Xenopus tropicalis: one gene and its partner. The protein of the gene in region 2 binds, or shares a complex with, the protein of the main gene of each other region. Links are inferred from orthologs where the notes say so. Each region holds a gene or a part of one and is shown on either strand. Other genes may lie near its edges.

Region 1 (3,754 bases), on a different chromosome or scaffold from region 2:
TGTGGGTGTTAGGTTATCAGTAAGAGGATAATAGCACTCTCCTTTGCATTCATAAGCATCATATTCTGGGGGTGAAATTATCCAGGAATCCCAGCCAATATCCTTGAAATTCACTTTTAATGAGGATTTCCTGCAATAGTTAGTTGCTTGACTTCGCTTAACCCTCATCTTGCCGTTACCCAGTCCAAAATTCCAATTTTTATGCCCATTATTTGCATATTTAACAGTATTTTTTTTTGACACAGTTTGTGTGCCAATATTCTCCTCATGAAAAATAATTTCCTTTCTTTCCATTTTTGTCTTCTGAGGCTTGCTCCACTTGTCATCAGAGAACACAAGAAGCACTGGTGGATAGCTACTGTTTATCTTGACACCTCTTCGATTATCTTGTAATCTAAGGCATGAATTCAGAGGTTTGTTCGAGCCAAGAAAAATCTCCAGTTTTTTTGTTATTCTGCTTGATGTAATCCATCTTTTGACTGCCCTGGTAACATTAATTGATAGCCAGCCACTCCTTTCAATTATTTTTGATTCTATTAATGATTTGGGGTATCGAAGATTTTCAAAGGGCTCTGTGTAAAGGATATCATATACCAGCAAGTGTCCATGATACTTTTTCCCAAGAGATACATACATTTTCAGCTCAGCTTCTGTCAGCTCCTCATGCTGTGGTATTGAAACATTAAACAACACAATGTGGCTCTGGAATGTGTCTTCCAAGGCAGATGACGACAGAATGTCTAAATGCGAAAAAAACAAAACATGTTTATGATCGCAGTAATACAACTCTAAGAATAATCATCATGAGCAGTAAGCAGTTAAATTGGATAGTTATATGTTGAATGCACTTGTGTATCATTTGTGCATAGAGGCATTCCTATCCTGTAAATTTGCCCTATTAGCAATCTATACCCTTGTCAGAACTTAACAACCTCCCCGCAGATACTGAGTTTGATTCCCCTATCATTACACTGCTGCATGTCCTTCAGTGCCTAGCACTGTCTGCTTATATGTAAAAAAAAAAATGGAAATCACTGAACAAAGTGTTACACTCATGTATGGTGAATGCATATGGGCCTCTGGCAGCCAATTAAGAGGCCCATGTGTTTGTTCACAGGGTAAAATTGTTTTTAAATTAAAGGCCATTTGTAGAATTAACATAGTAGATAGCTAGCAATTAGAAATATAGACTGCTATTAATGAATAAAGATTAAATATTAATAACATAGTAGCACAAAGTATTGCCAGAAAAGGTTTCCAAAATGGTTTCTATGTAAAAGACTATCAAGTGTAGTCACAGAATACCCAAATCATGGCACTACAGTCACCACTTAACTGAAACACTGCACACTGTACTGCACAGAGGGTGCTTAGAAACTGAAATAACCTGGAGGGACATGGGTCTGATGTGAAAACAAATGGCTAAAAATTGCCTTTATTCCCAAAATGGAGGAATAGATGCAATCCTTATCATATTATATCCACCTTATCAAGCCTATTTTTAATTAAACCAGTACCAGCCTTTATTCTACAGCTCTGTTTAAGCAGCCTATAGAGAGACAATTTTAAAGTGACAATTTTAAAGTGTTTTATACAAGGTGAGATTTTTTTTAGTCAATAAGCAAAATTTGAATAACGACCAAATAATATTTCCTTTTGAAAAACTTGAAATTATCAGATAAAAAGGAAATAAATGGAAACATAATCACTGGTCACTGAGATACTCCTTTTGTTTTACTCAGGGCAGTGAGAATCAAAGCATCTGTGATGTCTTGTTTTAAGGATAATCTTGGCATTTGACAGTGGCACAAACAAACACAGGAAGCAGATATTGTAAAATCTGTACATTAATTAATTACACTTCAGGTTCAAAGATTTTGGATCAACCAAAAATCACTCACATACATATTCAGATGAGCCTTACCTTCAGCATTAAAACTCCGGATAATGTTTGACACAGGCTTTAATGTTTTATCCTCTGAAAATCGGTTATAAAGCTCAATCATAAACTGTGGGGGCATTTTCTTTATTTTGTCCTGAGACGGAACACCGGATAAATTTAATCCCCACAGAAACTCCTTCTTTGTGTTCTCCATAAACAGGCTCATGATATCTTCTGGTTTTTCTTCATAGTGTCTGTGATGGTTTCTGGGTGCCAAGCCTTGGAGAGATTTGTTTGTTACAGTGTCAAAAAAGATGATAATTATTGAAAGAACTACTGAGAGTGTGATAAACTTCATGTTTGTGGACGGACTTCACTGCAAGACTGCTAGGTTTCAATAAGATTCCTCAAGCACCATGCATAGAATTCACTGCAGCAGTCAACTAAACACTATCTTATATTTTTTTTAAACCACTTGCCTGTCATTTGACAACCAGGCTTACACATTCACTTCTCCTTATCTCTAAGCCTGGATAGCAGTGTGTCAGTTTTGCTTATCTCATTAATTTCCTTTGTTGATGTAAAATATGTAACATGCTAACATTATTTTGGGACCTTAAATACTACACTGAAGGGGTCAGTGTGTAATTATGAAATTTGGATGTAGATCAAGGGCCCTTAGAATAACTTTTTACCAAGAAAATATGTGACACCATGTCTGTTTTAGTTCTAAAAGTCTGGTGGAAAAATATTCAGTGCCTTTCTCTGTCACCATGTACTTACATATGTAAGATTTGAACTATATATAATAATAATATAATATTAATAATAATATTAATCACCCCTCTTACTAGGGTTCCGGTTCTTTTGAGAAGCAGACAAATAACCCACACCAATAAGTGTATATTAAAATGAATATATTGAGTAGAAAATCAATGGATTGTTACAATGAAAAGATTAGTTAACAAAACAAAATATATTTACTTTATTTACATATACAGATTAATATCAAGTCTACATATAGCTACCAAAAAACACAGAACATTGTGGTCTGGTTCCTTTTCTCTAGCCATGGCCTCCTCTCTCGTCTGTCTCACATCCTGCCCGGTCACTTCTGATGCAGTCCTCAGGTGCTCCTCCCAGGTTCTTCCCCCAGGTTCTTTTTCCAGGTTGCTCTGTCCAGTCCACATTTATACACCTTTCAGCCACTGCCCCCACATACCAACTGATCAGATGGGGGTTGATAAAAACCACACCTTGCCCATTGTTCAGTAACTGAGTTTTATGGCTTCTCGCAGACGTACTGTCCCACCATCCACAGAAAAACCCTTAGATATGGAGATTTGGCTTCAGGTGCAACTTGAAAAACTGGTTTATATTAATCATTAGAGCTACCCTCTACACAGTGTATATGTATAGAGACACACAAACATACATATATACATACATATATATATATATATATACATACACACACAGGTATCGGACCCCTTATCCGGAAACCCGTTATCCAGAAAGCTCCGAATTATGGAAAGCCTGTCTCCCATAGACTCCATTTTAATCAAATAATTCAGAATTTTTAAACTGATTCCCATTTTCTCTGTAATAATAAAACAGTACCTTGTAATTGATCCCAACTAAGATATAAATAATCCTTATTGGATGCAAAACAATCCTATTGGGTTTAATTAATGTTTTATTGATTTTTTAGTAGACTTAAGGTATGAAGATCCAAATTACGGAAAGACCCCTTATCCGGAATACCCTTGGTCCCGAGCATTCTGTATAATGGGTCCTATACCTGTATATATATATATATATATATATATATATATATATATATATATATATATATGTATCAGTCCTGATGGT
Region 2 (3,754 bases):
CAGGAGAACATTCTCTAGAAATGAGTTTGTTGAGGTTCTGAAGTACCTGCACCTATCGGCATTCATAAGTCGGCACCTGAATGCTTGCTGAGATGTCTCTGTTTTTTGTTTTTTTTTTTTAATACTATACAACGACGTGCTGGTAAAATTGATCCGATCCAAGTAGAATCCAAGAAAAAAAAAATTCAAAAAAAAAAAAATAATAATAATATTAAAAAGTCAAGATAAAATAGCAGCTGCATTCGTGAGTTTTTTTTTTTCCTAGTTTTTTTTAAATTCACTGAGTCTGGAAAGACCAAAGAAACCTCAGATACTGGACTCTTTGGGTGGCAAGTCCACATTGGTGACAGATGTAACAATGGATACAAGGCAGTCCGAGGTAGTGCCGTTCACTGATTTACGGATTTGGGAAATGCGTTCCTCTACGCAGCCCGCAGAAAGCCGCGCCTCCGCGTCGTGGTCCCAGCATTCCTCAATGGTCACGCACAGTTGGGCCAGACCCTGTTGGAAGTAGAAAGTTGGAAATGTCAGATGATTTTTCTCAAAGAAGCTGGGTCAAACAAAAGCACTAATACATATGAATTATAGTTTTTGAACAGCCTGCAAAATCAGTGATTATATACCACACTGCCCTGATTTTAAAGGGACAGGCCTGATTTGCAGACTCCAAAAAGTGGTTGGGCTTAATAGGAAGTGGCCATGGTTCAGGTGGTTTAGGCATTTCTGGTGGATCATGATCTAAAACAGTGAACCCCAACCAGTGTGTCTTGAGCTTACCTCCTCCTTTGATGTTGCTCCCAGTGGACATAAGTAGGTGCCCATTTTTACATTTCTAGCTTGGAGACTATTTTGGAAGCACAGAGACTAGGGATGCACCGAATCCAGGATTCGGTTTGGTATTCAGCCAGGATTTGGCCTTTTTCGGCAGGGTTCAGATTCGGCCGAATCTGGAAGGGTTAATGACGCAGCATAAACGCGGAGGTGTTAAATTTTTCGCCACACGGTTTGCGCACAGCGACATTTAATCCTAATTAGTAGGAATGGGCAAAAACATTTGCTGTGTGTCTTGCAATTTGGTCGCTTTACATGACGCATGTGTATTTTTTGTTTTAATGTGTGTGCGCACATTATAGAAAGCGACAATTTGCGTCAAATTGCGTGACGCGTGGCGAATTTTACTGCCGCGTGGTCAAAATCATTTTGCCCATCCCTACTAATTAGGATTTGGTTCGGTATTCGCCCGAATCCCTTAACATGGATTCGGGAGTTCGCCCAAATCCCTTAACATGGATTCGGGGGTTCGGCCAAATCCCTTAACAGGGATTTGGGGGTTCGGCCAAATCCCTTAACAGGGATTTGGGGGTTCGGCCAAATCCCTTAACAGGGATTTTTGGGGTTCGGCCAAATCCCTTAACAGGGATTTTTGGGGTTCGGCCAAATCCCTTAACAGGGATTTTTGGGGTTCGGCCAAATCCCTTAACAGGGATTCGGGGGTTCGGCCAAATCCCTTAACAGGGATTCGGGGGTTCGGCCAAATCCCTTAACAGGGATTCGGGGGTTCGGCCAAATCCCTTAACAGGGATTCGGGGGTTCGGCCAAATCCCTTAACAGGGATTCGGGGGTTCGGCCAAATCCTTAACAGGGATTCGGGGGTTCGGCCAAATCCCTTAACAGGGATTCGGGGGTTCGGCCAAATCCCTTAACATGGATTCGGGGGTTCGGCCAAATCCCTTAACATGGATTCGGGGGTTCGGCCAAATCCCTTAACATGTATTAAGGGGTTCGGCCAAATCCCTTAACATGGATTCGGGGGTTCGGCCAAATCCCTTAACATGGATTCGGGGGTTCGGCCAAATCCCTTAACATGGATTCGGGGGTTCGGCCAAATCCCTTAACATGGATTCGGGGGTTCGGCCAAATCCCTTAACATGGATTCGGGGGTTCGGCCAAATCCCTTAACATGGATTCGGGGGTTCGGCCAAATCCCTTAACATGGATTCGGGGGTTCGGCAAAATCCCTTAACATGGATTCGCTCGAACCCAAAAAACTGGGTTCAGTGCATCCCTAACGGAGACACAGTTTTACTCTAAGCAAAGCCTTCTGCAGGCCAGAAGTACACGTGAGGCTACCAAATAGCCAATCACAGCCCTTATTTGGCATCCCCAAAGAACTTTTTTCATGCCTGAGTGGCTCACAAACATTTCTTTACATCCAAGTGTGGCTCACAAGTAAAAAAAAAAAAAGTTGGGGATCCCTGGTCTAAAATGTCGTTTTTTCCCCCAAATGTAGGGGAGTAATTATAAGAACAACATGAATGTAAAGTACAGTTTTCTTTACTAAGCTGCCCATATATAAGCCGATATTCGGTGACCATGTTCAACAGCTTAATGGCTTATGAATTGAGCGATCTGACAGGCTACATGACCAATATTCTCTGCCAGGAACTGGTTAAATATCTACTGGGCAGGTTTGAAAATCCCATTGGATAAATTCCTCTTCCGATAAGACTTCTATAAACACCAATTATGATGACCATGGGGGGGGCAAAATCTGGGTGGCTATGGTCATTTTTACTCATACGCTCAACGAATAAAAACTAATGGGCATTCTAGCATATGCAATAGGCCTTACTGGGTGCTTCAGCCAGTGGTCTTTAAATACGGGGCGCATCTTCTTGTGAACCACAACTTCCTGCAGGTCCTCAAGGGAAGGATGTTGCCCAATCTCCTCTTCGAATGGGAGCATGTACTCATCAACTGGGCCTGTAGACAAGGATGAGTTAAAGTCAGTTCAGCGATGGTTAAGATGTGTCCCTCCAAATATCCTCAAACTACTACTCCCAACATAATCTAAAAGAGTCAAACTGCAAAGTGCAGCAGGTTTCCGAATGAGAAAATAAAGTCAGAAATGAGTTTACCTTCAGATCTGGTTCAGGAAGGCCACATACTAACTAGTTGTGGAATTACCTACCTCTGAGACTGAAGGCTCTGGCCAGCAAATCACATGTACAACTTTTTGAAAGAAAATATCTAATTGGTTGCTATGGGTTGCTAGACCCGGCACAAACTTTAGACTCTTATTGTTATAAATGATAGTAGACGTGAAGCTGAGATTACACATCATTTCCAGGAACTATGCTTTTAGTCCAGGCTTAAAAAAAAAGGGTAAGTAAACCCCTAACACATTTTTGTTGTATTTTATTTACAGAGAACACAACCTATTCAACCTGAAAAGCCGCTCATACAGGGTAACAGTTATTATATACAGTTGAATGCTTATAATATAATTACCACCACAAGATGGTAGCAAAGACTTACCATCTGCTGCTGTACATCGGGATACTATTTCCCAGAGCACCAGTCCCATGGCATACATATCTATCCTGAGAAAGGAATCTCGCTGAAAGTTAATTGCTCCCTCCAGAACCTCAGGGGCCATATACCTCCTGGTGCCAACCTAGAGAAAGAACATTTATTAAAGTATAAGCACTGGGTGTATCAGTATAATGCAGATATGCTGATATTTGTCATGGGCGAGTAGCTCGCTCCGTGGGTTCTTGCCCTAAGGGAGATGAGCCAAATTGGGTAACTCCCAATTAAATAGGGGGAGTCGACAGCTCTGTGTGTAGCCACGGGGGCAGCCAATCAAGTTGAATAGGGCACAGAAAAACATATAGAAAACCATAATTTCAGGCATCACCCAATCAAAATTGTTTTAAAAACCCCAAACTTGGCACCTCCCCTTGCCATCAGT

What was found. The genes of interacting proteins can lie anywhere in the genome.
Region 1: the proteins of acvr2b (region 2) and gdf2 are in contact, whole or in part, in a crystal structure (PDB 4FAO), measured with the Homo sapiens proteins. The link is inferred for Xenopus tropicalis from reciprocal best matches to the Homo sapiens genes ACVR2B and GDF2. Residues at the interface, in NP_001097.2 of Homo sapiens: Asn35, Glu39, Cys49, Glu50, Glu52, Lys55, Leu57, Tyr60, Ser62, Arg64, Val73, Lys74, Cys77, Trp78, Leu79, Asp81, Phe82, Asn83, Glu94, Gln98, Val99, Phe101; in NP_057288.1 of Homo sapiens: Arg333, Ile346, Ala347, Pro348, Lys349, Glu350, Tyr351, Glu352, Lys397, Ser399, Pro400, Ile401, Ser402, Val403, Leu404, Lys406, Gly410, Val411, Pro412, Thr413, Leu414, Tyr416, His417.

What each region holds. Positions count from the first base shown.
Region 1 is NC_030683.2:61,308,775-61,312,528, forward strand, and holds the start of gdf2 (growth/differentiation factor 2), read right to left. Parts: upstream 2,746-3,754; 5' UTR 2,241-2,745; coding exon 1,925-2,240; intron 741-1,924; coding exon 1-740. UniProt on the Homo sapiens protein: Potent circulating inhibitor of angiogenesis. Signals through the type I activin receptor ACVRL1 but not other Alks. Signaling through SMAD1 in endothelial cells requires TGF-beta coreceptor endoglin/ENG.
Region 2 is NC_030682.2:13,794,092-13,797,845, forward strand, and holds the end of acvr2b (activin receptor type-2B precursor), read right to left. Parts: intron 3,458-3,754; coding exon 3,319-3,457; intron 2,764-3,318; coding exon 2,633-2,763; intron 502-2,632; coding exon 307-501; 3' UTR 266-306; downstream 1-265. UniProt on the Homo sapiens protein: Transmembrane serine/threonine kinase activin type-2 receptor forming an activin receptor complex with activin type-1 serine/threonine kinase receptors (ACVR1, ACVR1B or ACVR1c).